Diceros bicornis minor: one gene and its partners. The protein of the gene in region 1 purifies or fractionates together with the protein of each later gene. This does not show direct contact. Links are inferred from orthologs where the notes say so. Each region holds a gene or a part of one and is shown on either strand. Other genes may lie near its edges. The genes, in order: RICTOR, PRR5L and MLST8.

Region 1 (7,975 bases):
GAAAGCTTCAATACCATAATTCCTTATTAACAAGTTTATAATATTTAAAACAATCATTTGAAATATTTGCAATATTTGATGTAAATATTTATCACATTTGAAATGTGATATAAATAATTTTGATTTCACAGTGTAGGAAGGCAACTAACATTTATTTAACATTACTCACAAAGTAACAAGTCCTGTGCTGAGTACTTTAATTAAGCACTAGGTCATTTACTTCTCACATTCATAATAACCCTTTGAAGTTACCTCTTTTTTTGAGATGAAGAAACCAAGAAGAAAGCAAGGTCAAATAACTTGCCCCAAATCACAACCCAGAACTACTGCACTTTACAGTCTTTCTTTTCACAATACATTGATGGCTCCTTTAGGAATTACAATGACTGTGACCTCTATTTTGTAATGAACTTTGTTAAATGGCTACACAATGAATTTCTCAAAGGTTACATAAAAACAATTAGAATGAGAGCAAACACTGCATTAGTATTAAAAATATATATTTTTGGTTACCCAAATTTTATCTAAAACATACTGTAATCCAATCCACAAACAGCTGCCTTCAGCTGCAACCCAGACTGCCCCACAGTTCTCAAATTATTACTAAAGTTTAATTCCTCAGGAACTTTCTTTATGTTAGATCCATAAGCCTTCTTTTAACAATGAAATGTTTGTCAGAATAGCAATTTCTTAAACAATAGCGTCACTATATGATTAATCTAACTCAGGTTACTTTTTTTATCCTAAACTTCTCTAGGATTTAGGAATACAGTTCTCACATAACCTCTCATTCTTAGTTGTATAGTGCTTTTGCAATCAGTTTCAATTGGCTGTGTATATTTTATTCCAAACTGAAGAACATTTTGTCAGGGTAAGAAGAAACAGCACTTACTATACTTTTGGTATTATCCTAGAAACACCTTGTTAAAGCTCAGGAAATACAGCATTTTAAATAGTATGCTTACTATCTGCATTACTTGAGTAAAATTGGAATAAACCAAAAATATCAAATTTAATTTGTACATAAGTTCTTTTACAACCCAAAATTTTTACATCAACCAGAGAAACCACTATATATAGGACCTCAGCAGTCTCAATTAAAAGCACAACTATAACTTACTTCTAGCATCACATCCAAACAGGTTTTTAAGGCATGAATTAGACTCAAGATCTAATAAATGCTCTTTTCACCTCTAAAACACATATGCTCAGAGATAAATTAAATCACTAATAAACTACATCCCTTACAGAACTCAATGCTAATTTTGAGCCCTGTGGGAATTTTGCTTACTTTGTTAGGAAATTTACTAGAAAATCTTTTCCCATATATTTTACACAGATTTTTCATATCTGTTATATCTAGTCAAGTTTCTGAGCTTACACAAGTCAAAAGCTTTACATCTTTCTATACTAATATTCAAACCCCATCTGCTGAAAAAAATGTTCCAATTTAGTGCGTTAGTGATCTATTTAGTTGCCATTTCTATTACTTAAGCCCTATTATGTTTTAGAAACTCTTCTGCCTGTAAAAGGAGCCAGTTCACTCAAAACTAAGTCCCTGAACTTTCAGAACATACTGTTACAAAATGTACTCTCGTAGCTAAATGAAAACTAGCCTTTTAGTTTATAAAAACAGTAATCTTACATTATGATATACAAAATAAAACAAATTACAGAATGCACTATGCTCTAAACACAGAGATGAGCCTCTCAACAAGGAGCCTGCGTCTGACAAACACCATAGACAATAACTGGCAAGTGCAACACAGGTTAAAAAAATGTTTTTTCATTTTATATAGAATGTTTACAAAGACTTTTCTTAACTTCCTAAAGTGTTTTTCAGATCTCAAAAAGGAAACTGATTCTGTACGGCTGAACTAGGTTACACTCGAAGCTACAGCCTGTGTGAAATATGACTTCTTCGGAATCAGTAGACCAAATCCTGTTTACCGTGGAAGAGAAAAGCAAAACCTTGTATATAACTACTGAATCTTCAGAGAGATGTTGTCGAATGAACTCCAGGGACTGATCGAAGATACAGTGGCCAGTGGCCGAATTAAGTCTTAAAAATATAACCGGGGTTTACCCAGTTGCGAAGGTGTAAACAAACCCATCGCCACTGCAGAAGGTAAACAATGAACCTGCAGCGAGGGTGAGGGGGCGGTCTTTGCCAACTACAGTCCCAGCGGCCCGGGAAAGGGAAACCGGAGGGAAATACGGCGTAAACCAGACACTCAGCAGTATGGTTTCACTACCGAGTGATCAAGGCTGCGGGTTCCCCAGGGCGGTGGGCAAAGAGAGAAGCAGTCACGCAGGCAACAAGAACCGAGCAGGTCCGGCTTCTGCTCCGGGGGCCGGGGAGGGCAGGATGTGGTCGCTCTTCCCGCAGACATCCTCCGGCAACCTAAGTAGCAGCCTCTACCTCCCTCCGGCCGCCCCTAGGATTCGGCTGCACGAGCCCCGGGATAGGAGCAAAACGCTCCCTCGAGGGTCCAGGGAACCCAGAGGGTCGCCGAGTCCCGCTCGGTGCTCGCCGGCCCCCGCAGCCCCCAGAGGCCCGGAGCAGGGCTCGGGGTGAGAGAAGCGGGCACCGAGAAGGGGGATGGGTCCGGGGAGGCGGCCCCGGGCTTGGCTCCCGCGGGCCGGCAGGCGGGGCTCGGGCTCTGCCTCCCGCACCCCAGCCGGTCCCGAGCGGGACCCGCCCCTGCCCACGGCCCCCAGACCCCGGCTCCCCCCCGGCGCGCGCCCTCGCCGGCGCCCCGCGTTACCTCGGGTCAGATCCAGCGGGACGTTCTCCTCGCCGCTGTCATTCCGCCCTGCGCGAAACAGACACACAGCCCCAATTAGGATTCGCTCGCAGGCCAGCGGCTGCAGCCCCGGCTCCAGCCAGCGCCCCGGCTCGCTCCCCCCGCCCAGGGCCAGGGGGAGGCAAGTGCCAGGGGTGGCTGGCGCCGGGCGGTGGGGGGTGAGGGATGCAGCGGGCTTACCTCGTATTCGGAGGTTCTTCAGCGAGCGGCCGCGGCCGATCGCCGCCATATTGACGGGTTTCAGTCACAACACCGGAAACCTCGCCCAATCGCGCGAGAACCCCTTCCCCTCCCCGCGCGCCGCGCCCGCCCCCCGCGGCATCTCCCCCGCCCCTCCGCGGCGGCGGCGGCGGCGGGCGGTGCTGGCTCTGCCTGGGACTGGAGGGAGCGTTGTGCCGACCTGGGGTCTCAGTGGAGCTCGCGGTGCGGGTGCCCAACAGTCTAGGAGCCGGAGGGCGCGGCGATGTGCCCGGCCCTCTGAGAGCACGTCTGCGGGAGGGGGGCATTTCCCACGAGGGGAATCCCATTGATGCGAGTTTGCAGCGTGGAGGATGCTTCCCCTCCAGCGGCCGCGGAAACCATAGTCAAAACCGAGGCGAGCTGGAAGGGGATCGGGATGCGGCCGGCGGGCCACCTGCTGAAACCATCCTGCATGATTCTCCTGCTTGCTTTCAAGCCCTGAGATAGACAGTCTCCCTTCCTTATTCATCAATTAAAACGATTTTTATTAAAAAAACAAAAACGCTCCGCACAGTTTTAATGCAACAAATCCCTTCCTAGAGTCGCTTTGCTCCAACCAAGTTAACACGTAACAAAGTTAGTTTTCCACCGTCGCTCTGTCCCCCATACTAAGCAGCTTTGCACTTGATCTTCCAAGCCACACTGAGCCAGGAGGGATCCTCTGAGTGGAAGTGGCTGGTTGTAAGTTTTGTTTTTGACCGCCGGGCGCAGGACGGGAGAAGAGGATGTAAAAGCCCGAGCGCAGGGTGGTCGTCCCGGGCGCTGGGTGGGATTCTTCCCGCGCACGCGCGGGCGCCGGGAGGCCCAGGGAGAGGGTTTCCTCTCTGCCTGGAACCAAGGAGAGGCTGCTGTGAGGGCTGTTTTCTAGCTCCTAGAACAGTAGCTAATGTAAAAGTTGTGGATTCGTATTTTTTATACATAAGCCTAACTGTTGTTAACTGTAGAGATTTTAATTCTAGAAACTGCTATAGCTAATTAATATATGTGTAACTGGCCCTTGACCCAGCAACTTTCTCTTACTAGATTAACTGTAAAGAGAGGTTGAGCGTTTTGTCGCCTTTTATCCCTCAACTTTTGTCTTTCTATTCCATGAGACTGGAAATTCATTAACAGTGGGATCTTGCCTTAACAACCTCTCTTTTCCCAGCTCCCAGCACAAATAAGTGTTCAATAAATAATCGGATGAGTAAATCCCCTGGATTCCTTCTTTGTTCCAACGCTCTTTTTGATGTAAAAAAATTTAAAAAGCAATATTGGAGATACCAATTGCAGTCGTTAATAATAGTGAACGATTGGAAACACTTAAATGACCAAAGGTAGGGATTATGCACATTATTGCAGCCATTAAAAATGATGGTGTAGGTCTAGTATATTTATAGGAAATAATGTTCATGATATTAAATCAACCCTTTTTTGTAAACGTTTAAGATACATATCAAATTAAAAGTATACTTGAGAAAATGTTTTACATGTCTGTGTATGTAGAAAAAAGTCTGAGAAGATATACATCAAAATATTAACTAATTCTGTTCCGTTCAGTTGTAGGATTACAGGTAAGGTTTTTTGTTCTTGTTTGCTTTTAAATGTCCTATATTTAATATATATCTATGGTAAAATAAGTAAAAGTTTTAAAAAGAAAAATAAAAGCAGCATAGAGTAGCATCATTACAAAAATAAAAGAGGAACACTGCTTCCTTAGGATACTACCCTCTGTATACTCCAGGTCCTTTTCTACTGGGTCTGCAATCAGGTACCTGCTGCTGATATTGCACTTAGATTCAAGCATGCTGCTCAGAGTACTTTTTAAAAATGTCTCCTGACATTACCAGTAGTAATTTTAATAACAACAAACTTGCTTCCCTTTTTGTAGCTTTTAAGTCTCAGTGCAAATTATTTATTCTAGTTACAGCCTAAGACAAAAATCACAAAATTTGAAGTCTGGCTAGGACATTAAAAATTTTGTATTTCATCCCTCCACGTATCACATTCCCCCAGTTTAGAAAAGCAGAAATCTATCAATGGAAGTTCTACTAGAGTCTTAGAATTGTTCCAATTTTCAATCAACTCTTTCTATCCTATTTTTTAATCCTTATCTGTTCTAAATGAACTCCTTCCTAATACAATTTTCTCTTTTCATTTTCTCTTTCAGTCTTTCATGAAAGTGAATACAACTGATCCACTTGTAAATTACTTAGGGTACATGAGAGCCTGAATCTAATAGCCTTGCATCTTTATAACTGTATGTTCCTTTTTAAAGATCATTATTCAGTTACTCCATCTCTTCCCGGAGAAAAAAGTTATCTTTCTCCAGTTGTACAATGGAACTAGTTTTTCCTCTGTTACTGTGTCAGTCATTTGAGTGGCTGTGTTTTCCACATTTGTTCTTAAGGTGAATGGCATTCCTGGTAAAAAGAACAAGTTCTTAGTGTTTGCAAATGACACTCAACTAGGAAGCAGGAGTTTAGGTAAATTTTAGTAAGGAATACATTTCATAATCCTGTGTTTGGTTTTTAAACAATACATTATTGATCCTGGTCAGCTTGTTATTTGTTAAAACCCCTAAGTTATCTTCTGTACTTGCCAATAGCTAGCCATTCCTCTTTTTGAAACTTATTTTTCTTCCTTGTTTATTTTAGCCCACCCCTATGTCTTACTCATTTTGTTTATTTCTTATTACTTCTTCAATTTTCCGGGTCATTTTGATTCTAATCTGGTCATTGAGAATGTGACTTCCTCTTTTTAGTTTTCATTTCCCAACTAGGTTTCATTTGCTGTGTGAATTTCTCATAGTATTAGTCATTGATAAAAAATGTTATTGAGATTGGGTCCAGAACCACACCTCTAAGAAATGACTGTTCCATTCTGAAGATAAAATGACTTTCGTGAAGAGTCACTCTCTATGTTCTATTTTCTATCCTATTGCACACAGTAATTCTAGTTTATAAACCAAATTTTATCAGTTTCAGATACAGTGGTAATGTTAACAGAAACAAAGCCTTGCCAAAAATCTTAGTTCCCTTTATCTATCTGCCTAATTACATAGGCCATGTGAAGATAAAGCAAGTTGAAAACCACAACATTTGGTCAGTCTATTTTTTAGTAATTTCTCGTCATAGCTAAACCACACATTTAACATCTAGATAAAGGCGATTAAAATGACAGGCAATGAACTAAATGAAACAAATGTTATAATCCTACACAAGGTTGATTATGAAGATTCAGCCTTGGTTATAGCAGGAAGTAGCCTCTTAGTATTATTCCTGTAAATTTTAATCTCTATCCCAAAATCTCATGTAAATTTTATTTTTAAAAATTCTATAAGGTATAAAGGCCCTCTGTGAAAGCAGTTGTAAAAGGAAATATAGGCCTATGTTTGTAAAAGAAGAAGATACGTATATTCATAAAATAAAATCTAGAAGGGTATGCACTAAAATTTCAACAGTGATTTATCTTTGGTTGGTAGAATTTTGAGTGATTTTTACCTTTCTTTTTCTCATTTTAATTGTTCTAAAACAAATTTTTACTCGTGCAAATTTTTTTTTAAAAAAACGTTTGAGAGAAATTGTGTTGGCTATCCTAAACCGCAATGATAAACACTGGATTATAATAATTTGTTGTGCAGTGGACCTCTCAAAATTATTTGTGCATCTCATCATCAAAAAAAATAGCATTTGTGTGCATACTCCAATCATGTGCATTTACTTTTTTGTTAAATAGAACATAAAAGTGAAATAACAATGGTTCAAAGTAATGGAAAATAATTTTTAGTGTTACTTTACTAATGGCGCAAATCAAAACAACGGGGCTGAATACACTTCATTATTTTTTAAATTTCCTGTTGAATACTTTGTGATCCAGCAATTCAGAAGTCCACTTCTGAGAAGAGTTTATTTGAATGCTGGGTTTTAGTAACTGAAACCTCACAAAACACAAAGTTAAAAATGGAAGAACTACTCTAGTGGCTGCAGTGTCTAAATCGATCAAGAACACTCGTTTTTACATTCCACCCATCAGTTATACAAAGGTTTTTTATGTAATTTGGCTGATAAATGTCCATCTTCCCTAATGTCAATCCATTGTCCTAACAAACTGGAAGGTGTAACATTTAGAAATTGTTAACAAATCGTTTCAAAACTCTTCATCGGAAAGATTTTAAGCAGGTTAGAAAACTCTGTTTCCCTGATTTTTAAGTGTATAGATATAAAAATTTATAGAGGTGACACATTTATATTTTTAATTGTTTTCAGGAAAACAAACAGAACTCTGCAAATGTTTCCAAATATCTATTTTCTAAATGCTCTCTTCCTAAGCACAAATGTCTTTTGCAAAGTAGTAACTTTCTTAGTTATTGTTATTACATTCACCTCGAAAGGAAAGGTTAGATTTAATATCTTTTTAAATACCTGATAGATAACATGCTACTAGAAGCCACCAGTCATCGTGAAAAACACTTTGCCACTAAATACATATCAAACATCTGTATGGTACAAAAGATTTTTTCATAGTCACTCTCATTCTCATTTGAAGTGTGTGAAAATTAAACTGTATTTTAAAGTTCTTTATTATAGAAAATTATCACGAGTAGTACTATATTCTTATGTGAATCTCTTAAATTTTTATAGCAACTACTTCATCAATTTTTCACAAAACATTGCTTTTATTAAGGAAGTCGTTTACTGATAAGGATACTTGTTCTTTGGTACATCCTTACTTTGGTGGCGCAGAAAAAGAGTAGTTATTTGTATATTTCATTATGAAAAGAATTTAGCAAACACCACAAACTAAGACAAGTGTAGGTGCATTTATGCTTCCATCCAACTGCACAGCAAAGCTTTCCTAATGCCTATTTGTTCAAATACCTTTTTCTTTAATTCTTTAGTTGTTTTTTCTTTTCCTTTTTGTATTTTGGTTGACCAGTGGGACTGCAT
Region 2 (6,934 bases), on another chromosome or scaffold:
GCTTTTAACAAGCATTTACATTTTGCATATGGAGAGGCAACTCTACCGAACAAGGTTCTAATGACACGTAGGGATCTTTCAGAGGGGCTTGTACTCTATTTCGCAAATCAATTCTGTATTGGTCTAGCTCTACAAAAAAAGATTTAAAGGCTGCAATTCAAGAAATATTTCGGTACATTTTACCTTGTACAAGACAATACAAAAGGAATGACAACAGGAAATATACACATGCACACCTACAAACCTTAGGATAGAGAAATAATGAAGACATACACAAAGTCCTGACTGGATTCAATTTTCTACAGATAAATGGTTTAAATGTTGCACATAGATTGTCAAGAACAAACTGCAGATTATGACATTTAGGTCTGGATTGCCAGCATGGAATTTTCAGGTAGCAGTGTAACAGATTTCTAAAGACAAGACTAGGATTTTTTTTCAATAATTGGGCCACTCTGTGATATTATGTGACATTAAAACAAAAAAAAAGAAAGAAGGCACCAAGTTAATCAACTATAAGATGAGCTCATCAACAACTGAGGGAGGAAGGGAAAGACATCTCCAGTAGAGGCTGGCACTACAAGCCTGCCTTAACAGAGCTGGAACCCATTCTCAGCTCCACCCTGTGTGTGTGTGGACAAACTAAGTTCTCTAACCCTCAGTGGGCTCAGCTATATAACGGAGATATAATAGTACCTACCTCATCAATGTTATGGTGCAGATTATATAATACTATCAAAGTCTCTTGGTGCACAGTTTAAGACATAATGAGACCTCGAGGGGTGGTTGTCCCCTCCCCTTTTTTAAAATAAAGGGCATATTTTTGTAATGTTCAAACAGACCATTATTGAAATCTCACCCGTTGAAATAAACATACATCCATGACCCTCCGGATCTGAAAGAAATAAGGTCTCCTCATTGAGAAACAAGCTAGTCCAAGCCCTTGAGAAATAAGCTGGTTAGACTAGCTTATTTCTAACGCCTATCTTTCTTTTTTGTTACACTATTAATGGTTCTAGCTGTTAGAAGCATCAATAAAATACTGAAAAGACAATAGTTGGGGTTGGAAAAACCGAAGACGACTTTGTGGACTCACCAAGCAGTTTCCCTTACTTTTTGGACTGACTAAGCATTGTTTCCCTTATCTGCTACATTCTACAGGAGATGCTCTGAGAGCACCCTCGGCCGGATTCCAGGGCTCAGTACTGCAGCCAGAGAAGACGGACAGCCAGGTCCCAGAGAGCAGCGCTGCGCCCTTCTCAGTCGGTCGTACGGGAACCTCACCAGGGCTAAATTTAAAACTTGGCTAACTCAGTTTCTGCAAGCTCCATTTCCCCTCCTGACCCACTTGCTGCTTCGCGTTGTCAATAACAGTGCCTTCCACCCCGAGAGCAATTTACCAGAGCGCAGCACTATGACATTTTGCAGCAAGTAGGGCAATGAAATGTCATGACTGCAACCCACGGTGGCCAGGATCACCAACGCCAGGGCCGAAAGGGCAGTCTCCGGGTCTGGACAAGCGCGCACCCTTTGGTGGGGGAGGGGGTCAGAGGACGGAGACAATCAGGGCTGTTGGCGTCCTTGACTGCTTTGGTCCTCTGCGTGGATCACTTGAATTTGCACGTATCGTCTGGGCAACAGGTCCAGAACTCCGCCCCAGCAGGGATGCCCGGAGACTCCAGCTCAGAGCTTTTTCCATGCGAGTCCCCAGAGCAGACGTGCCGCTGAGCAGCGGCGCGTGAGCCTTCCGTCTTGTGGGGCGCATCGCAGTAATTGAAACCTTGCATACCGCAGGATTGCAGTGGCGTCTATAAATACTCATCGCCTTACTGCTGACAAACAAAACGCGGGCTCCCGGCACCGCGGGGGAAGAGGCGGCGGCATGTGACCGAGAGCAGGGGCTGGGTACAACAGGGGGAAAACCCTACTGCCAACCAGGGAGGCACCCCGGAGCCAATTCCTGCAGCACAGTTTGCAAGTACACAGCCCGGTGTGACCAGGGGCGGGCGCCCACAGGATAAGGGGCAGAGGGCTGGGAAGGGAGAGCCTGAGCCCCCGGGGCGGGGGGCCTAGAGCGCCCCCTGCGCGCAGTGAGCACGCCGTGCGCGCACAGTACGCGCGCTGGGAAGCCTCGCCAAATGGAGGGCGGGCGGGAAAGATGCAGCGGGAAGGGGATGCCGCTGGCCGGGAGAGCCGCCCGCCCGCCGGTCTCCCCAGGCTGCGCCCGGCCCGCCCCAGTCGGCGGAGCGCGCACGTCCAGCGGCGCGCGGGACAAAGCGGCTGCCTTCCCTGCCCTCCCCTCCCACGCTCCCTCCAGAAAAGAGGGGACGGCAGGAAAAGATGAGCTGTTTCGGGGCGCCGAGTCGCCCGCGCCCGAGTGGGTCAGCTTACTTTAGATTTGCCCCTCAGGCCGGGGGAGAACGAGAGACACAAACAAGCAAACTTTCTTTTACGATCTCCTGGCTCAGCCCGGGTCCCACGATCGGCGGCATCCCCCATCCCACCCACAGGGGTCCCTCGCCCACCCTAAGCCGCCGACGCGGGCTCAGCTCCCCCCCTCCCCACCACGATGGGCGCTAGTCCGGTGCTCTACGCCTGCCGGCAGCTTCCGATCGATGGGGCGATCCTCAACCATGCGGGGGTCCCCACCTGGTTGCCCCCAAATGTGACGCTTTCCCCAAGCCCCGCTTCCCTGTGCCCCGCCGCACTGTGCCTGTCGTGCCCGGCGATTTTGTTCCCAATTCTGTGCCGTTGCTGAGCCTGCGACTCTAGCCCCTCCCGGGGACTTCCCCGTCACCCCCTTGGGGTCCCGGGGCTGAGTCACCTCGAGTCGCGCACACTCGCAGCTCGCCTCCGCGCGCCCAGGAAAAAGTTTCCGGTCTTCCCGGGAAAGTTTTCTCACCGGAGAGAAACGAGCGCCCTGGATGGCTCTCGCCGCCCGCTCTGCCCAGCTCTGCCCTCTGCGGGGTCCGCTCCAGCCTCGGGTCCTCCCCGGCGGAGTCAACCAACGCGGCGGCCGCGGAGCTCCCGGGGCCGGGCTGGTGACACGTTTCCCTCCTCTCTCATCTTACGGCCTCCTCCCCCCTCCTCCCCCTCCCCCTCCTCCTCCCACTTTTCCTGTCCTGTGCTCATCGCTTTAGTTTCTCTCCAATGGCCCCCACCCTACCCCACCTCACCCCATCCCACTCCTCCCCTGCAGCAACTCTCACCCTGTTGGGGGTGGTGGGGGGAGGGGGCGCCTGCACTTACATCCAGTTCAACAATTTCAGGAAATCCAGCTCTGACTTGAAAAGCGGGGGAGGATGCAACAGGTCAAGGGAACTCTGTGCTGTGTTTCCCTCACACAGGACGGACGAGATGCCCCCTCTCCACGACGGGATCTCCCCCCTCGTCCCCCCACGACGGGAAACTCTACCAAGAAGCCAAGGGGCTGATTCTAGGACTCATTAGGGGACTAGAGCCTGGGACTTTCGTTGTTGTTTGAAGGAACAGTCCCCAGGCCAATTTCAGGAGAAGTTGTTTTAAGTGCACTAATAAAAATATAATTCCGGTGAAGTCTCTCCCTTAGATTTGCAAAACTCTTTTAAAGCTTCCAAGTTCTCTCTCCAACCGAAGGTTTAGTGAATTGGAGGGTCCTTCAAAGTTTGAAACAACAGAAAACCAACCAATCCCCAAATTAAAAACAATGTAAAATTATTTTCAAAACTTTTTTTTTTTTTTGCAGGTGTTAAGAATTTGATGCAGCTGTTTTCAGGACTCACTGGCTTGCGTAGTTTCACCCTATGGTTGAGCAGGAAACACTTTAAAAATGCTGCCGGCTCACACATCACACTTAGCCTTTGAAACCACAGTGACATTTGCTGAAGAAAAGACGTATGTGTCTTTTTATGTCAAAACTGAGAAAAAATTTGTCTTTATTTTGGTCACTGTGACCTTACAAAACCTGTGTAAGGACTGCTGGGGGGGGCAGTTAATAGAGCTCTGGGTGCCTCACTTAGATAAAGTGCCCCACTTCAGATAAAGCTAAAGTATTCTCAACACAAACCCCAGGATGATGAAGAGACACTAAGTCTCATCCCAGGAATCAAGTGCAATGAAAGGGAGGAGGTTTGAGGCCTGTGCCTGGGAAAGAAAAGCTCGAGGGGGCAGTGAGTGGGGAGGGGACTTGAGAGATGGCTTCAAGGCAACTCTGCTGAGGATTTAAGAGCCAAAGCCTGGGGCCAGTAGGTCAAGGTTTGTAGACCACCTCCTCCTCTTACTAGCTGCCCGTCTTAGCCAAGTCTGTTAACTGTGCTATGCCTCAGTTTACTCCTGTGAAATGGGGAGCAACATAGTGCTATCTAAGTGAAATAAGGCAGAGAAAGACAAATACGGTATGATTTCACTCACATATGGAAGATAAACAGAGATAAGGAGAACAGATTGGTGAGTATGAGAGCTGAAGGGTGTCGGGGGAGGGCGAAAGGGGTGAAGGGGCACATGTGTCTGGTGACAGATGGAAACTAGACTATTGATGGTGAACACGATGCAGTCTATACAGAAGCTGAAATATAATAATGTACACCTGAAGTTTACAGTGTTATAAGCCAATATGACCTCTGTAAAATAAAAACTGAATAAATATAAATTTAAAAAGTAGTAGCTATGTCTTAGGATTGTGATGAGTATTTAATGACTTCATACAGGGAAAGGGCTTAGAATCTCTGCTGGGATTCAACAGATATTAAGCTATTATTCTTACTACTATTATCCTGCAGGGCTGGGCAGTGAAAAGGGAGCTATTTCTGCACGGCTGCAGGAAGACCGATTTGGGAACATTCATTCTGCATTGCTGACTCCCTCAGCTCCTTCAAGTGTTTGTTCAATGAGGCCTAGCCTATTCGGTCTTTGTAAAATTATAACTCCCTCCTCCCTCCCAGTCCCCCTCATTCCGTTCTACTTTTTCTTTTTTGCATTGCCTCTATCACCTTGTAACATATTACATGATTTACTTTTTAAAAGAAATTTAACGTCTCTCTCCCACCACCTCCTCCTTCCAGGCTAGAACATCAGCTCTCCAAGAACGTGGATTTGTTCTGCTCACTGATACTGCCTAAGATCCTAGAACAATGCCTCGCACATAGTAGGCACCCAGTAAATATCGCAGGAATGAATCCATGAATGGGGTTGTTTAGCAAATATACGCTGTAGTGACTGCCTATGGTAGGTTGGGCACTGTGCAATAAGAAAAAAACTGAATCACCAGGCCTGTCCAAGGAGGAAAGAGGCTGCCTCTGGAAGAAGTGCACTCCCTGGTAAAGAGAAGTAGTACAGTGTAGGTGGGTGCCAGTCTAGTGGGGGTGCCATAAAAGAGAATTCAGGACTGGGAGGGAGGTGTAAAGAGGTTAACGTCTCTTCTAACCCTGAGAGTTGCCAATTTTGTAAACAGAATTTTCTTAAAATGAGAAGTAACCAACATGTTGGTGTAAATCAGAGCTTTCTCTAAGTACCATTCATACCAATATATTATACTTAACACCACCCAAACTTTTACTGAAATTATAAATGTCGGTGGAACATTGCCTTTTCTTATAATAAACAGAATTTTGTTAGGAGAAACCAATACAAATCATTCTATTTAAACACTCATTTGGAGGAGGAGGAAATTCTATGTCTTTATTAGACCGATCAGGTACACAGCTTGCCATGGCCACAGCCTCTGAAATGAAAGTTGGTTCAATCAAGACCCTTGCTGAAAGGGTAGGCCTTAGGCAGCCCCTCTAAGACCAAGGGCGGGCACCTGACCCAAATGCAGCTAATCCACAGATTTGTTCTGTGACAAATTCTGGCCCCAAAAAGTTACACTGGGCCAATCAGATTCCATTTCAGGACTGTGAACACACACACACACAACACGCACAGCTAGTATGCAGAACAAAAGCTGAAAGGTCATGACTTTATCTGAACTCTAGATTCTAGAAGCTGCAGATTGGCTGCTTGTGGACCAGCTAGATGTATATTAGATGCATATTGTTTGAACCCCATGGTGTCAACATTTTTTAAATTACTCACCAATGTGTAAAAATCAGAAAACTTCAGGCAAAAATGTGGATTTACAGCTTGCCTTGAAAAATCTGGAAGACCAGGCATTGATATGCCGCCAGCCTGCACGGCCACGATTAACTGGTGCCACGGTGTTTCTGTCTCCTGCAGACAGGGCACAGTTTCCAGTCTGCCACAGTCCCAGCCACTCCCTACTCCCTGCTCCTCTTGTTCCCAGCCTGCTTCACCCGCTCCCGCCACCCCTGATGTGGTGAGAGAAGGATGCTGGCGCGGAGTTCGAAGGGGCCGGAGCTCTGAGTAAGCAGGAATTATGCAAGAGAATGGCATGGCTTCAAACCTTTTTTTCTCTGGCAAGAGAATGCATTTTTTAAACAAAACCTTGCTTGGAATCGCAAAATGTGAACGCTCCTGAGGTAAAGGAAGATATGGGGTAGCTATGGAGGCAAGTGGACATCAAGACAGGGAGTAGGGGAGGCCTCCCTGGGGCTGCCTTGGGATCACCCACCATCCAGCTCCTGCTCTCCCAGAGGCCTCTTATTCTACTTTTCCTTTGTTCCCAGGACACTGCCTGCCCACCCCATCACCACTGCTCCTGCCTACCCCAAAAGCCTAATCACACCAAGTTCAGGAGGGGTTAGGTGACTTGCCCAAAGTTAGACACAAGCGGGAGAGGACAGGGCAGGGATCCCTGAGGCCAATTCAGTGCTCATGTACTACACTCCACTCCCTTTTGGGCTGATTAGCTGCCTCCACTTCTGAATAATAGTTAAAATCATTTCAATTTACAGAACCGTAGCATTTAATGTCTTAATAATCTGGTATACAAGAGGTGTGAAATAAATGTCTGCTGAATGTAGGTGTTCAAGGTCTGATCTCCAGTTCGGACCTCCTT
Region 3 (7,558 bases), on another chromosome or scaffold:
GCTCCCAGCCTCAGGCAGGTCCCCTCCTCCCCGCAGCCATCCAAGGGCTCCTGGTGCCCAGCCCCCGCCACGCACGTGGAGTCAGGGCTGAAGCGGCACTGCAGGGCATAGCGAGTGTGCGCTGGGATCTTGGTCTTGGGGATGAGCTGTGTCACCTCATCACCAATGCCCCCGGTCAGATTCCAGACATAGCAATTCCCCTGCGAGGTAGAAAGGAAGTTATGGGAGGCCTGGAGCCTCCAGCCTGACACATAGGGAAGGATGTCCTAGCAGCTAGATGCAGATCCAGGGGCTGCCATCCAATACTGTGGCTGTGCACAAGGATCTGGGGGCTAGGGACATGTGGCAGGCACATCTGGTCCTGCCTGCAGGGAGCACCTGGGAGGCCTGGCCCAACCAAGAGCCATACCTGGAGGGCCAAGAACAGGAGGCCACACTTGGCCTTCCTGGAAGATGCTGCTGGCCAAAGGGAATGTGAGGACCGAGGTGGGAGGAGGCACCCCAGAGAGAGAGACCAGGAGGGCAAAGGCTCAGAGGAGGGCAGTCTAGGGACATTGTGGGACAAGTGACTCGCTGAGATTTAATGGACGTTAAAGGGAGAAAATGAGGCTGGGTAGGAGATCAGTGGCCAAACTGCAGCATCCTGAGGCCATGGTAAAGAGCCAGGGGCACAGTGGGTGTATGCAGGGGGACAGTGCAATCAGGCTGGTACTGCTGAAGGATGCTCTGGCGGCACAGGGAGAATGGATCGGGGGCAAAGGGGAGGTCTGAAAGGAGGGAGGGGGGTTAGAGAGAAGCTGCAGCTGCTGTCGGGGGAGACAAGGGAAACCCGGACCAGGAGGCAACAGGGAGGAAGGAGGGAAGTGGACAGACTTGAGAGATTCTGGAGATGGAAGTGACCAGCCTGCTGGATGCGCTACGGCAGGTAGTGAGAGGCGGCGTCAGGAGCAACACCCAGGTTTCTGGCTTTGGTGGTTGGGTTGGAGCTGGAGCCCAGGAGAGGGAAGCAGGACTGGGAGGGGAAGGGGGAGGAGGGGTCTGAAGGACATCTGGGGAGTAAGCCCACCTGCAGGGAATAAGGGAGATCAGGGGCTGGGTGCTGCTAAGCTGGCCTCCCCCACTGCACCCACCCCAGGACTCACAGCGCTATTGACTGCTGCCATGTAGCTGGCGTCAGGGTCGATGTGGGCAGATGTGATGGAGACCTCGGGCTCGGGGATCAGCTGCTCGTTGTGGTCAGTCTTCAAGTCCCAGATGTGGATGGCGCCGCTCTGGTCCCCCACAATGAGTTCTGCCTGGGGTGCAGGGGAGGTGAGGTGGGGCAGAACCCCTGCCCTCCAGAACCCCAGGGTGCCCAGCCCTGTGCACAGCCCTCACCTGGTTGGGATGCAGGCACACGCAGTTAATGGGCGCATTCACCTGGAAGATCCGCTGACACTGCAGGTTCCGGGATCTTCGGGTGGGGGATATACACCTTCTGTTGGTGCCCCACCCAGATGCCCTTTCCTTGGCCATTTATCCTTGTTCCTCTGCTGATGGGAGCTGCCTCAGAGGAAATATCTGGGAGGTTCGGCCCTCCCCAGGGGCAGCCTGAAGCCAGTGACTGGCTCAGAAGGGGCATAAAGGCCAGCCCCTTGCCTCAAGGTGGGACTCACTCTCGGATACAATTCACTCGCCAGAGCTCCCTGTGGGATCAAGCTGAGGCTGGACTCGCCTTTGTGTGGCTTCACCACACAAAGCCCTATCCTGATTTCCTCAATAAATCACCCACACAGAAAACCCCATCTCAGCCTCTGCCTAGAGGGGACCTACCTAACACAGTCTCCTTCCCGGCCTGGCCCTCATGACCATACCAAGGCAGCAGGCCCTCCCTGCCCAGCACCCCACACCTGAGGTCCCAGATCCGGGCGGTGCAGTCCTCTCCACCCGTGTACATCCAGCGGCCATCCTCATGGAAGCCCACAGATGCGATATTCTTGTTAACCCCATCATAGCTGATGATGGGGTTGGGGTTATTGGAGTTGAGATCATACATGCGAATGTGCTGGTAACCTAGGGGCACAGGTCAAACTGAAGTTGGGCTGTGCCTAGATCCACCACCAGAGATCAGGGGTTGGGGTCGAGGGCACAGGTACCTGCAGCAGCAATCATGCTGCGGTCAGGCGTGATCTCGAGCGCGTTCACCTGCTGGGTCTGTCAAGGAGGGTAACGAACAGAGTCCTGGGGCCAAGGCCCTCGAGGCCTCCAACATCGGGCTCAGCTGCTGCATCCTTCCCACCTCAGGCCTTTGCCCAGGCTGTTATCCGCACCACGCGTCCTGCCCAGCACCACCCTTCCCACCCCCTAGTGGAGGATACGGAGTCCTGGTGCTGCACTGTACGGGTGCAGATCCCGCTGTGGGCCTGCCAGAACCGCACCGTGTGGTCATAGCCCGCTGTGGCCAAGATGACCGGGTCACTGCCCACCGTGCCTGGGGATGTGTTCATGGTGCGACTGCTTGGAAAACCCGGGCCTGCACAGGGCCCGAGATATGACCTACAAGGGGTGAGAGGTCAGAGCATCTGGAGGAGAGAGGCGTGCAGTATTTAGGGAATATCCTCTATATCCTAAGTAGATTACAGGTCCACTAGATGCTGAGGGATAGGTATTATCACTCTCATTTTAGATGAGGAAACTGAGGTTCAGAGAAGTTTAGGGACGCGTGACAACCGGCGAGGGACAGCTCCGAGCTCCAAGGCGCATGCTCCGTTCCCCGCCCCACGGACCGGGCCGGGAGCCACCCCACCCGCGGCCGGCAGGGGGCAGTCACGCCCGGGGCGCCGCTCTGCCGCAGGGGCGGGCCGCGCGTGCGCAGGGCGGCGGACGGGCCCGAGAGGCAAGCAGAGCGGTGCGGTTGCGCATGCGTAGCAGGCCAGCGGCTGGACTTGATGGGAGGGGGCGTTCTCTGGCTGGACCCTCGAGCTCCCTGGTGTTCCGCCGACCGCCCTGGCTCCGTCCCGCTGGGCCAGCTTACCCCGGGCGCGGTCTTCCGGCCACCGGCAGCCGCTTTCCGGCCCTCGTCCCGCGGCCTCCGTACCTTACATGCGGCTCCACACTCCGCCGCGGTCCAGGACGGCGAGAGGAGCCGGAGCGAATCGATAGAGGCCGAGGCCGAGCGTAGAGTTATCGATGGGACATTAGGGCGACACCACGCGGCGTAGGGGGGTGAGTGGGACGAGACCAAAGTTCTGGGGCAGGGGGCCCCTCTCGCCCTGGAAGAACCAGTAGAGGCCTGCGGGGTGCCTGGCGGCCCCAGCCTTCTCCCCATTCAGGCACCCCACCTTTCTGACACGGCTACCCATTTCCAGACTTGGATCCCGAGACGGGGTGGCGCCATCCCCTCCCTTCCCTCAGTCCCCTACTCCCCACGCCAGGCTAGGATTCCCAGGTAAATTACAGATAATTTAACTAGGTTAAATAGCAGGTAAACTTCAGATAAGTAATAATTTTTTTTGTTTGTTTAAGCATATCCCGAATATTGCATGGGATATACTTACACTAACAAGTTATTTGTTGCCTACACGAAAATCAAATGTAACTAGACTTCCTGTGGTTTTATTTGCTAGATCAGGCAACCCTAGTTCGGGCTCTCTTTTCAAGCCTGTCCAGCCCTGGCCGGCCTGACCCTCGGGTCCCCCCACTCAGCTCAGTGACCCCTCCAAAATTGGGGTCCCTCATACCCCCTTATCCATTCCAGCCTTCCCACACACCACACGCATGGCCTCACCCTCTTTCACAGGACAATAGAGTCCTTGAGACAGGCTCTCCCGCGGTGTCCTTGCACCGTGGAATGTAGCTGCACACCCCCCTTCCTTCCTCTGGCCCGTGGACCAAGGCCATGTCCCCCGCCCATCCCTCCGGGCCCTGGGTCCCAGGAACCTTCTTTCCTGTACCTTTCCCACCTCCCCTCCTTCCTTCACCTCAGCCTTTAAACACCGTAAAACAACCCAAAACTCCTTCCAGCAGGCACTCTCTCCTTCAAAGAGCCATCCTCACTGCCTTGCTGGCTCCATGTCCTCACTTCCCACTCACTCCTCTACCCGCTGTCGTGTCTTTGACCCCAGCTCTCCAATGAAAATGTCACAAGATCACTGGCCATCTCACACTGCCAAACTCAGTGGATACTTTTCCTTCTGCATCTTGACACGTCTGCCCAGTGTTTGACAGCTCTGCTCCTGAAAAGCTGCCATCACCTAGCTTCTCGCACTGGCACTCGGTCTCTGTCTCTGCCTCCCCCTAAAGGCTAGTGCCCTCCAGAGTTCTTGTCTCTGCACTGCCACACTGTCCCCGGGAGCTCTAGTTCACTCTCCAGGGCTTCCAATACCATGCCTGCCCCAGGCCTTTCCATCCTGTGTCCAGCTCAGATCCAGCTCCCTGTTAGACATTCTCCCTCGAAGGCCCCACGGACACTTCCACTTTCCGTGGATTTATCATAGACCAAAGGGCTTCCCCTTCTTCTTCTTCTTTTTTTTTTTTTTGTGAGGAAGATTAGCCCTGAGCTAACTTCCATGCCAATCCTCCTCCTTTTGCTGAGGAAGATCAGCCCTGGGCTAACATCCGTGCTCATCTTCCTCTACTTTATATGGGACACTGCCATAGCATGGCTTGACAAGCGGTGTGTCGGTCTGCACCCGGGATCCGAACCTGCGAACCCTGGGCCGCCAAAGTGGAGCGCATAAACTTAACTGCTGCGCCAGCAGGCCGGCCCCTGGGGCTTTCTCTTCTGCGTGTCAGTGCCCACCGTGTGTTACAGCTAGCTGTGACCCCTCTCCCATGACAGCCTCCTGACCTCCCTCCCCACACCCACTTTGGCCCCACTCCAGGCTGTCCTTCACATTGCAGAGTGGTCTTTTAAAAACCTAAGTCTGACCCCTGTTAGAAGCCTTCAGGGGTCCCCTCTCACTTTCCAGACTCCTGGGCCTGGCACCTGCTGACCCTGCGACTTTCTCTTTCTGCTCTATAGGCCATGTGCTGCATCCGGCCCGAGTGGACAACAGCCTCAGAATTCGCCACCACACACTCCCCTTTGAACCCTTGCCTGCTCCTAGGATGCTTTCCCTTCTGCCTCTTTATCTGATGAACTCTTGGTTTTCAAAACTTTTCATAGCATTTTGAGGGCTTATTCTGTGTGAGGTGTTATGCTGATATTTTTGTTTTAATTGTTGAGGTGAGATTCACATAATATGAAATTAACCTTTTTAAAGTAAACAATTCAGTGGCACTTAGTACCTTCACAATATTGTGCAACCACCACCTCTATCTAGTTCCAGAAGTTTTCATCACCCCAAAAGGAAACCCCGTACTCATTATGCAGTTACTTTCCACCCCTGCTCCCCTCTCAAGACCCCAGCCCCTGGCAACCACCAATCTGCTTTCTGTCTCTGTGGATTTGCCTGTTCTGGATATTTCATATAAATGGAATCATACGATATATGGTCTTTGTGTCTGGCTTCTTTCACTAAGCATAAATGTTTTCGACGTTCTTCCAGGTTGTAACATATCTCAGTACTTCATTCCTTTTTATGGCTGAATAGTATCCCATTGTGTGAATGGACCACATTTTGTTTATCCATTCATTAGCTGATGGACACTTGAGTTGTTTCCACTTTTTAGCTATCACAATAATGCTGCTGTAAAAATTCCTATACAAGTATCTTTTTGAGTACATGTTTTCATTTCTCTGTATACTAAGAGTGGAATTTCTGGGTCACATGGTAACTCTATGTTTAACTTTTTGAGGAACCGCCAAACCGTGCTGAGCATTGTACCTACATTATGCATCTGGTCTTTACAATGGCTCTGCCGAGGAAAAACCACCCCCATTTTGGAGACGAGAAAGCTGAGGCTCAGAAATCTAGAGTCGTGTGTCCAAGGGCACACAGCTGGAACACGACAGGACCCATCCTGCTGGGCTCAGCTCTCCCCTGATCTCACCCTTTCTGGCTGAGGTGACAACTCCCTGGGCAGCCCCAAACCTCGTATCTCCTCCCTGTCTTCCTCTCTAAAATTCCCCAGAGCAGCTCCGCCAGGCTCAGGGCAGCTCTGGGAGTGGCAAATGAAGACATGGGCTTGGAAGGCTGGGAGGAAAGAGCCCTGTGAACCTAGCACCTGAAGGATGTCTGGAGCAGGATAACCTGCCAAAGACCCTGCGAGCAGGAGAGAGGGGTGGGGCCGGGAAGGCTGGAAGACTTGGCCACATGTCTGTGGGGTCCCACCTGTGACCCAGGGAACAGGCCTTGAACTGTTTGCCTTTTCTGTAGGGGGCTCTAGGTGGAGCCTGGGGGCTACTCACGTCCCATGCCTAAGGGTAACTAGCAGGCGGGACCAGGCTCCCCACCCAGCTTGGGCAGCTCCAGCATCATCTCTGCTGGGCAGGAAGTGGGGAACAGGACGCATGGTTGTTGATCCCCTCTTATGTGCCAAGCACCAGCTGAGCGCTTTAGAGAGGTGGTCCCTATGAGAATGAGAGAAACCATGGCAGCTAACATATGCCGCGTGCTCCCAGCAGCCCATGGGGGGGTATGTTTGTCATTCCCTTTTCATACATAAGGGGCCAGGCACCACGGCTGGGGGGGGGGGGCGCTGGAGGGGCACCAGGAACGCCTGAGCAGGCGCACAGCTGGTGGGAAGGAGCTGTGCTGCTGGTGGAGGCTGCCATGCAGCTGGGAAGGGGGCCAGCCAAGTTGCAGTGAAGCGACCGCCAGCTCTACTCCAGGCTGAGCCTCAGCAATTCTGCTGCCTCAGCGGCCCCTCCTCCTGGGATCGTCCTCGGAGTCCTGGCTTCCTGGAGGGCTGCCCAAGTCCCACACTTCTGCATCCTCATCCCCTAGTGGCCTGCTGTGCCGCCCCCATCCCCAGGCTGGGGGAACCCAAGGCAGACTCACATCTCTGTTTTCATGTATACCCTCCCGTCAGCCCTATACCGCAGGCAGAGCTGCTGGCCCATTTTACAGATGAGGCAGCTGGGTGTTGGGAGCTTGTCCGAGGTTGCTGGGATGGTCAGTAGCAGATCTAGGACTTCCTGACCCCTCTTTGGGCAGTAGCCTCACCTAGCAGGGTGAATCCAGCAGAATCTGTACAACTCTCTTCCCAGATCTGTCCTCCTGAAGTCTGAGAGTGACTAAGGGGTGCCTGTTTGTGGGGTATAGGTGGAGCTGGAGCTGGGCAGAGAATGGAGGTGGGGTGGCTGCAGGCAGGGGCCAGTTCATTACCCAGAGGAATCCGAGAATTCTCAGTTAGAACTTGGCCTTTCAGGTCATGATGAAGGTACATTTGTCAAGGTAGGAGGATAGAACATATTTTATTTAACAGATTATTAGGCTGATTTATAACGTTTAAATATTTAGACTTTTGGAGTCTGGGCCTCTGTTTGTACCTTTGCCCCAAATCCTGCAATTCGGCTCAGGCCAGAGTGGTTTGCCTTAGCCAGCCAAAACATAAAAATAATGCTAAGGGTGAGAGCTATCTTTTTATTTTTATTTTTTGTAGTGCTTCCTGTGTGCCAGGCACACTGCTGGGC

Evidence for each region.
Region 2: the proteins of RICTOR (region 1) and PRR5L purify together in Homo sapiens (affinity purification with western blotting; 3 studies listed by BioGRID and IntAct, with this or other methods). This does not show direct contact. The link is inferred for Diceros bicornis minor from reciprocal best matches to the Homo sapiens genes RICTOR and PRR5L.
Region 3: the proteins of RICTOR (region 1) and MLST8 purify together in Homo sapiens (affinity purification with western blotting; 14 studies listed by BioGRID and IntAct, with this or other methods). This does not show direct contact. The link is inferred for Diceros bicornis minor from reciprocal best matches to the Homo sapiens genes RICTOR and MLST8.

Annotation. Positions count from the first base shown.
Region 1 is NC_080759.1:30,472,379-30,480,353, reverse strand, and holds the start of RICTOR (rapamycin-insensitive companion of mTOR), read right to left. Parts: upstream 3,042-7,975; 5' UTR 3,037-3,041; coding exon 2,988-3,036; intron 2,817-2,987; coding exon 2,769-2,816; intron 1-2,768. UniProt on the Homo sapiens protein: Component of the mechanistic target of rapamycin complex 2 (mTORC2), which transduces signals from growth factors to pathways involved in proliferation, cytoskeletal organization, lipogenesis and anabolic output.
Region 2 is NC_080770.1:32,255,203-32,262,136, forward strand, and holds the start of PRR5L (proline-rich protein 5-like), read right to left. Parts: upstream 3,041-6,934; 5' UTR 2,903-3,040; exon of another isoform or gene 2,825-2,902; intron 1-2,824. UniProt on the Homo sapiens protein: Associates with the mTORC2 complex that regulates cellular processes including survival and organization of the cytoskeleton.
Region 3 is NC_080765.1:46,214,259-46,221,816, forward strand, and holds the start of MLST8 (target of rapamycin complex subunit LST8), read right to left. Parts: upstream 3,097-7,558; 5' UTR 3,014-3,096; intron 2,857-3,013; exon of another isoform or gene 2,562-2,856; 5' UTR 2,487-2,561; coding exon 2,358-2,486; intron 2,188-2,357; coding exon 2,136-2,187; intron 2,053-2,135; coding exon 1,890-2,052; intron 1,454-1,889; coding exon 1,378-1,453; intron 1,296-1,377; coding exon 1,143-1,295; intron 201-1,142; coding exon 76-200; intron 1-75.